Linked DNA regions of Daphnia pulex. The protein of the gene in region 2 purifies or fractionates together with the protein of the main gene of each other region. This does not show direct contact. Links are inferred from orthologs where the notes say so. Each region holds a gene or a part of one and is shown on either strand. Other genes may lie near its edges.

Evidence for each region.
Region 1: the proteins of DNA-directed RNA polymerases I and III subunit RPAC1-like (region 2) and DNA-directed RNA polymerase III subunit RPC10-like purify together in Homo sapiens (affinity purification with mass spectrometry; 4 studies listed by BioGRID and IntAct, counting the BioPlex papers as one, with this or other methods). This does not show direct contact. The link is inferred for Daphnia pulex from reciprocal best matches to the Homo sapiens genes POLR1C and POLR3K.

The regions. Positions count from the first base shown.
Region 1 is NC_060019.1:12,453,158-12,455,637, forward strand, and holds DNA-directed RNA polymerase III subunit RPC10-like, read left to right. Parts: upstream 1-1,500; coding exon 1,501-1,827; downstream 1,828-2,480. Other genes in the region: feline leukemia virus subgroup C receptor-related protein 2-like, read left to right, coding at 9-300; yrdC domain-containing protein, mitochondrial-like, read left to right, coding at 1,904-2,480. UniProt on the Homo sapiens protein: Core component of RNA polymerase III (Pol III) which synthesizes small non-coding RNAs using the four ribonucleoside triphosphates as substrates. Can mediate Pol I proofreading of the nascent RNA transcript.
Region 2 is NC_060020.1:1,790,101-1,794,439, reverse strand, and holds DNA-directed RNA polymerases I and III subunit RPAC1-like, read left to right. Parts: upstream 1-1,435; 5' UTR 1,436-1,499; coding exon 1,500-1,592; intron 1,593-1,657; coding exon 1,658-1,729; intron 1,730-1,800; coding exon 1,801-2,041; intron 2,042-2,121; coding exon 2,122-2,241; intron 2,242-2,299; coding exon 2,300-2,482; intron 2,483-2,562; coding exon 2,563-2,679; intron 2,680-2,749; coding exon 2,750-2,872; intron 2,873-2,937; coding exon 2,938-3,050; 3' UTR 3,051-3,055; exon of another isoform or gene 3,056-3,084; intron 3,085-3,133; 3' UTR 3,134-3,968; downstream 3,969-4,339. Other genes in the region: uncharacterized protein LOC124192222, read left to right, coding at 1-96, 290-381, 443-678, 744-910; sodium/potassium/calcium exchanger 1-like, read left to right, coding at 4,096-4,206. UniProt on the Homo sapiens protein: DNA-dependent RNA polymerase catalyzes the transcription of DNA into RNA using the four ribonucleoside triphosphates as substrates.

The DNA.
Region 1 (2,480 bases), on a different chromosome or scaffold from region 2:
TGGTTAAGGTTCTTTATGACTGGATATCTGCCTGTTGGATTCGAGTTTGCAGCTGAATTGACGTACCCTGAGCCAGAAGTGACGTCGTCTGGTTTACTGAATGCCTCCGCCCAAGTATTTGGTATCGTCTTCACAATCATCGGGGGTTGGCTCTTGAGCAACTACGGCGATTTGGTCTGTAACGGAAGTTTGTCGGCAGCACTATTTTTCGGCGCTGCTCTATCGCTGTTCATCCGTTCGGATCTCAGACGCCAAAGAGCCAACCAGATGGAAGCGTTTCGAGCAAACGAAGCTATCTAAGTGTCATCAATCGACTCTCTGAGCTTCACCAGTAAGAGCTTTGCCTGTCTCCAAGAGATGCCACATTTGCCTCACGCAATTTCGAACAAGTTGATTTGCTTATTGTTATAGATATGTAGTTAGGTAAACTTTGTGTCACTGTATTATCTGCCATTTCAAAATGTTGCTTCCTTCAATGTGATTGGCTGCTGCACAAAGTTTGCGGCTATACCGTGAATCCGTTACGACGATTTCAATGGGGGAAAAAAAAGTAAAGTGATTGATAGTTATAGACTGTATGTATACTTATATATATAGCTTATAGCCTCTCTCTTTCGGTTCCGGTCTAAAAGAGTTTACATTTCTGTGTTATTACTAATGTAGTAAAATTGCTGTCTTCCGTACAATGCAGGGAATGGAAAGCAAAGTTCAAACCCAAGTTAGCTTCATTACAGAGTATTATGCATTCGATTCTTTATGAGCCTTTGACGTTAAAGTTGTTTTCACTTTTCACCACGACCCATTTTAAACTGACCAAATCATTTGGTTTGGATGATGTGACAGTTAACAATTATTGCGCCAAATAAAATCTAATGCCACCACGTTCACGTTTTTTTTTTCACCAATAAAAAAGAAGGGTGTGAAACCCCTCCCCCGAAAAAAAAGGTGGGATCCCCATCAACTACTATCACTTTGCTATTGTGGGCTTGCCACAACATCAAATTTTATTATTTAAAAAAAAATACTTAGCTTATTTCCCAAAAGGGGTTTGGGGAGTGAATTTTATCACTGATATGAACAAAGAACAAAGTTCATGAAATAAATTACCTCTTACTATGAGTACGAGGTTATAAATTATAAATTATAAATCTTGACAACAATAAATAATTTGTTTATTTATCGGCAATTCGCAATTCGATTTGGCGCTTCGAACTTGGTCTACGTTACCACGACTTGGCAACGCTTTTTTCTAAACAGCTGACGAAAAAGCATGGGCGGAAGTATGTTGGAAAAAGGGGACGACATTAATCGAAGCAACATTTTTCAACGGGTAATTTGCGATTGTTAGAGGTAAAATTCCATCACTATGATTATTATCTAACATTCTCAAGTTACATGATGCTTGATTTCCCTTGCAGATATAAATGGTGGCATTTTAAACTCTGTATTATGGTACGAAGTTTTTGAATGAGAAGACATTGATCTTACGAAGTTATCAAAATGTTGATGTTCTGTCCCACGTGTGGAAATCTTTTGGGTGTTGAAGAAGGACCCAAGTGTTTCCGATTCTCTTGCCGTACTTGCCCTTACGTATTCAACATTAATCGAAAAGTTAGCAGCAAATCATTCCCCAAACTTAAGGAAGTGGATGATGTATTAGGAGGAGTTGCTGCCTGGGAGAATGTGGATTCCACTGAAGCAACTTGTCCCAAGTGTGACCATTCAAGAGCTTACTTTTTGCAGATGCAGACACGATCTGCAGATGAGCCTATGACCACCTTTTACAAGTGCTGCAACCACGAGTGCTCCAACCTGTGGCGTGATTAGACACAACCTGCCTTCAAACCCCCACTTTCTTTTTTTCATGTTAAACTCAACTCATTATCGCCTTTAAAATTGTCAAATGATCAACCCAGTCATCCTCCTTGGGCCCAAGAACTCCGCAGCCATCCTAAAAAATGCAGTGGAGCTTCTGAAATCGGGCAGTGTGATTGCTCTTCCAACAGACACTTTATATGGGATCGCTTGTCTGTCCCAAAGTTCAGAAGCTTTGAAAAAACTTTATCAAATCAAATCGCGAGACAAGAATAAACCGGTTGCTATTTGCGTGTCGCAAGTTAGCGAAATCGCCAAGTGGGGACACGTTACAGTAGATGAACGTCTACTGCACGACCTTTTACCTGGACCCGTCACCCTTGTGTTCGAAAGAAGTCCTGCCTTGAATCCTGAACTCAACCCCGGAACTAAACTTGTTGGCATTCGAATTCCGGACTCTTGGTTCATTCGTCAACTGGCAAATAGCTGTGCTGAACCTTTAGCGTTGACTAGCGCCAACATCAGCGGATCTCAGAGTACTCTATCGGTGGAAGAATTTCTAGGGATTTGGGAGCATCTCGGGGCTGTCTTCAACGGTGGCCCTATTCCAGACGGCTCTACCGCTCGACTAGGATCTACTGTTGTCGACTTGTCGTCACCTGGCA
Region 2 (4,339 bases):
CCCGTCAAGACTACCGGTACCACGACCAGGGCGCGCTACAGTGCCGCTTCGTGTTTGGATGATGATGCTAACGGAGAACCCGTCATGAAACTAGAGGTAAATTTATTTGAGCGCTTTGTGAACCACCCACGTATTTTGCATAGCGTAGCATATCTTAAAAATAGTTTTATTCTATAGCTGATAGAATAAGCTCAAATTATTAGAAATTACCGTTGGGTTCTAAGTTTTGATTCTATAAGTTGACTACATTTTTGTTTGATCAATTAACAAACCATTAGCTCACTTTCAGGATATCGAAGAAGATTTACGCAAATTGCGTGAGGCGACTTCGTCAGTGCTCAATCGCTTCGCCACGAAGACCAACACCCAACCCTCTACTCGGTAACGAACAAATCAAATTTTCACGCAAATGAACCAGATGGTATTTAATGAATATCAATAGTTTGTCTCGTTTCTTTTCGAGCTATCTGAACGATGATAAGGATTACGAGAAGAGAAGCTCAAGTTACAGCTCTGATAGCTACAGTCCTAGCTACAGCAGCTCGTATGCCAGGCCGTCGTCGATAAAGCCGGTCGACTCTTCATCTTACGATCCGCCCGTCTACGATAAGCGCTACTCAATGTACTTGTCTAGCCGTTCCACTAACAAGGATTCGGATTTGGAAAAAGACGCAGCAGGTAAACCACATCCTCTACCAATTGTAATTTTTTTTGTTACCTGCAAATGAACTTCTTAATTACAGGAAAATCTGATCGAGGACCGATCCCGCAGGCAACAGCAGAACCGGAGTCGTATTCGAGACGTAGAACACCAAGGGCTTCAGCTTCAAGCGACGATAACAGCAAAATCAATTCACGAATTGCTGTCATGTCCAAATACATTCTTTCAAAGAATAAGACAAAAAATTAAATAAATGACAAAGACGAATACATTTTTTTTTTCATAGATGGTTCAGTCTCAGGATAAATGCCCCATTTATTCTCTCTCCTCCGAAAGAAATAATTTACCCATACATTACATGTCTGTAAAATGCTGACGTATTAGTTTAGTTCGGACTGTTTGATACGCCGAATATACTTCAGCTTATACCGTAAGTATCGCGCTAACATCCAAGCTAACTGTTTATATCGTGTACAGTTACTGTGTCTAACGTGTATGTGTTATTTGCCTCAGAAAAAATAGAAATATAAAAACTCAACAAATTCCTTGAAATACTATTGGAAATAGGATTTTCTTTTTTTGAGAGGAGGGTGTTTATTGGCTATCAAAATAATATTTAATTTCTTATTATTTACCTTTACCCTATAATATATGTCCGTTTGTTTTCTAGAAAAGCGGTTTCGATTTGAACTGAATTAAACTGAGAGACGGTGGCGAGACGGTGGCGACATCTTGCAGTAAATTTTAAAAATAAATAAAAGCAGACGACACTTTTCACAATAGTCATTATTTGCCAATTTTTCCCTCGTCCAGACACGTGTTAAAGCTCAACGGAAAAATGAGTAAAAGTAAAGTTAAATATTCATCAAGCAAGGAATACATTGATGAAAGTAGGAATGAACTCGTGCTGACAGAATTCGAAGTTCTTAATGTAATACTACATAACAGAAATCTTCCTAAGTTCAACCAAATTTAATAATAAAAATAACTATTTAGGCTGAAGCCACAGACTTCCCAGGAAATCATCATGGGTTTGACGACAGTTGGAGTTTTGAAAAGTTCAAAAAGGTTCTTCTAAGAAAAGTTCTACACTATAAGTAGATAAAAAGAGAGCATTACCATTTTTTCTGATTTTGTAGAGGCTCAAAATTAACATTGTCCGCATGGAAAATATGGAAATGGAGTTTGATTTGATTGGTGTTGATCCAGCCATACCAAATGCTTTTCGTCGTATTTTGCTGTCTGATATTCCCACCATGGCCTTCGACAAAGTCTTCATGTTCAACAATACCTCAATCATCCAAGATGAAGTCTTGGCCCACAGACTGGGACTGATACCATTGAAAGCTGACCCAAGATTGTTTGAATTCAGAGCTGAAGGTATACTCCAAACACCCATTCTTTTCTTTGTCACCTTACTTCATATAACTGAATCTTTGTTACCCCATCTCTCATTTTAGATGATGATACTGGGACTCCTGAAGATACACTTGAATTTGAGTTAAAAGTGAAATGTTCGTGGAATCCTCAAAGGACTAAAGATCATACAAATCCTGAACACTTGTACAGGGATTTCAGAGGTAAGAAGGGAAACTCAAACCTTTTTTTTTCGACAGAATGCTGACCTACTTTTTTCAGTTTTGACATCTCATTTGAAATGGATTCCACTGGGTGGCCAAAAAGATATCTTTACCCCTGATGCAGTTGGACCAGTTGACGATAACATTCTAATCGCAAAAATGAGACCTGGTCACGAACTTGACATCAAATTGCACGCAATGAAAGGGACCGGACGAGAACATGCAAAATTCTCACCCGTTGGTTAGTTTTATTGTTTTTTTTTATGATTAAGAATTTTTGGACCGAGATTTAAACAAAAACTATTTTTCTATTTTCTCAAGCTACCGCATTTTACCGTCTCCTACCACAAGTGAAACTTCTTAAGGAAGTGGAAGGTGAAGCTGCCCAAAGATTACAAAAGTGCTTTTCCCCTGGGGTTATTGATTTGGTCGACTCAGGTTTGCTACATACTATATTTTTTCTTCTAGCTTAATTAGTGTGAAGCACTACCTTTTTATTCTATTTCAGGTGAAAAGAAGGTTGCCAAAGTCAACGATGCCCGATATGACATCTGCAGCCGCAACGTATTCCGTCACGAAGATCTAAAAGAGGACACTGTAAAGCTGACCCGAGCACGCGACCATTTCATCTGTAAGTATTGTTATTGGATTTTTGCTTATTCCTTACTTTAGCGATGCATTTGAAAATGTGTTTAGTTTACATCGAGTCTACTGGAGCACTGGCGCCGGAGGTCCTCTTCACTGAAGCCGCCAAGATCCTGTCACAAAAATGCCGTGTATTTTTGGATGAATTGAAGAATGGACTGTAGGAATGGTATCCTAAATAGACGCGTTGATTCATGACGATTACGCATTATTAGTTCACCTGGAGGCGTTTGTGCCGTTGATATAGTTATCACCCAGGATTCCAGCCGAGTGACCCAGAACTGCATTTAGAAACCGAAACCGGAGCTTTTCAAACGGAAGGAAGGGAAGACTTATTTAAAAAATTTGAGGGGTGGAGGCGAGCAACTAATTCTTCCTGGTTTTACGGAAGGATACCTATCCTTTTTCATATGTTCCTTTCCATCGCTATTTTTATTTGCCTTCTGCAACAATGGCTTCTGTTTGTTTCGCTACTGGTTTTACGAAACGTTGGCGCTAGACTTGCTAGATAAGCTGTAGTAGCCTCTTATTGACCTTGGATCCTAAGGTTTTGATTGTTTTGGATGTGAACCGAGATGTTCCTCCTTCTAATGTTCTTCTTCCTTCCTTCTCACATTTTGTTTACACCGCCAATTCGTTTTAGCCCATTGTGGAATATGCGTAGGTGGTGCCAAGAAAGTCTAGGCAGATGAGATGAAGGAAATGGGAAGAAGAACAAGAAGTGTATTCTGTTTTGTTTTTTATCTCCTCTCCCTTTCTCTTTCCCTTCTTCTTCTTCCTATTTTCTTTTCTCTCTTTCTCTTAAGTCTATTTCTCATTGACCGTGGCATCTAAATTTAGTGCTCGTGGAAGCTTGTGGAAGCTTGCGAGCTTGTGGAAGAGTTTTGTTTCGGACGTAGAGCACTCGGGTCGCTTTCCATCTCCACGTTCACTACAAGTACAGTCGACGACGCACTCTGCTTGGTGGCCGGACGAAAGAAAAACCGTCTCCCTCAATCAAAAGACCCCTTTCCCCCATCTGGGCCGATCGTGAAGTTGTTAATTAGGGAGATCTTTTTTCTCATTTGGACTTGGCTGGACAACAGAAATTGGGTAAGAGAATGCCTCATATAAATTTATGCCTATGATTGTCTATTCATTTTTATTTCGGTTTTGAACCCCTATCGTTTCCTATTTTCATTCTTCGGATCCGGAGAAGACGATTACGCAATGGCAGGCTACTACTCCAGTCAACGAGGATATGGTGGCTCCTACGGTAGCTCCTATGGCGGTTCATCATCGTCGGCCTACACGTCATCCCTGCGTAGCAACTATATGCCGGTAAGTCTCCCATTATTGGGGCGGTTGAAATCCCCTCAACTGTTTTCTTTTCTTCGTTCATTTTTTGCTTCACAGCCAAACCAAAAACAACAAAAAAAAATTTTTGTTTTTTGCTGTGATGACAAAACTAGAA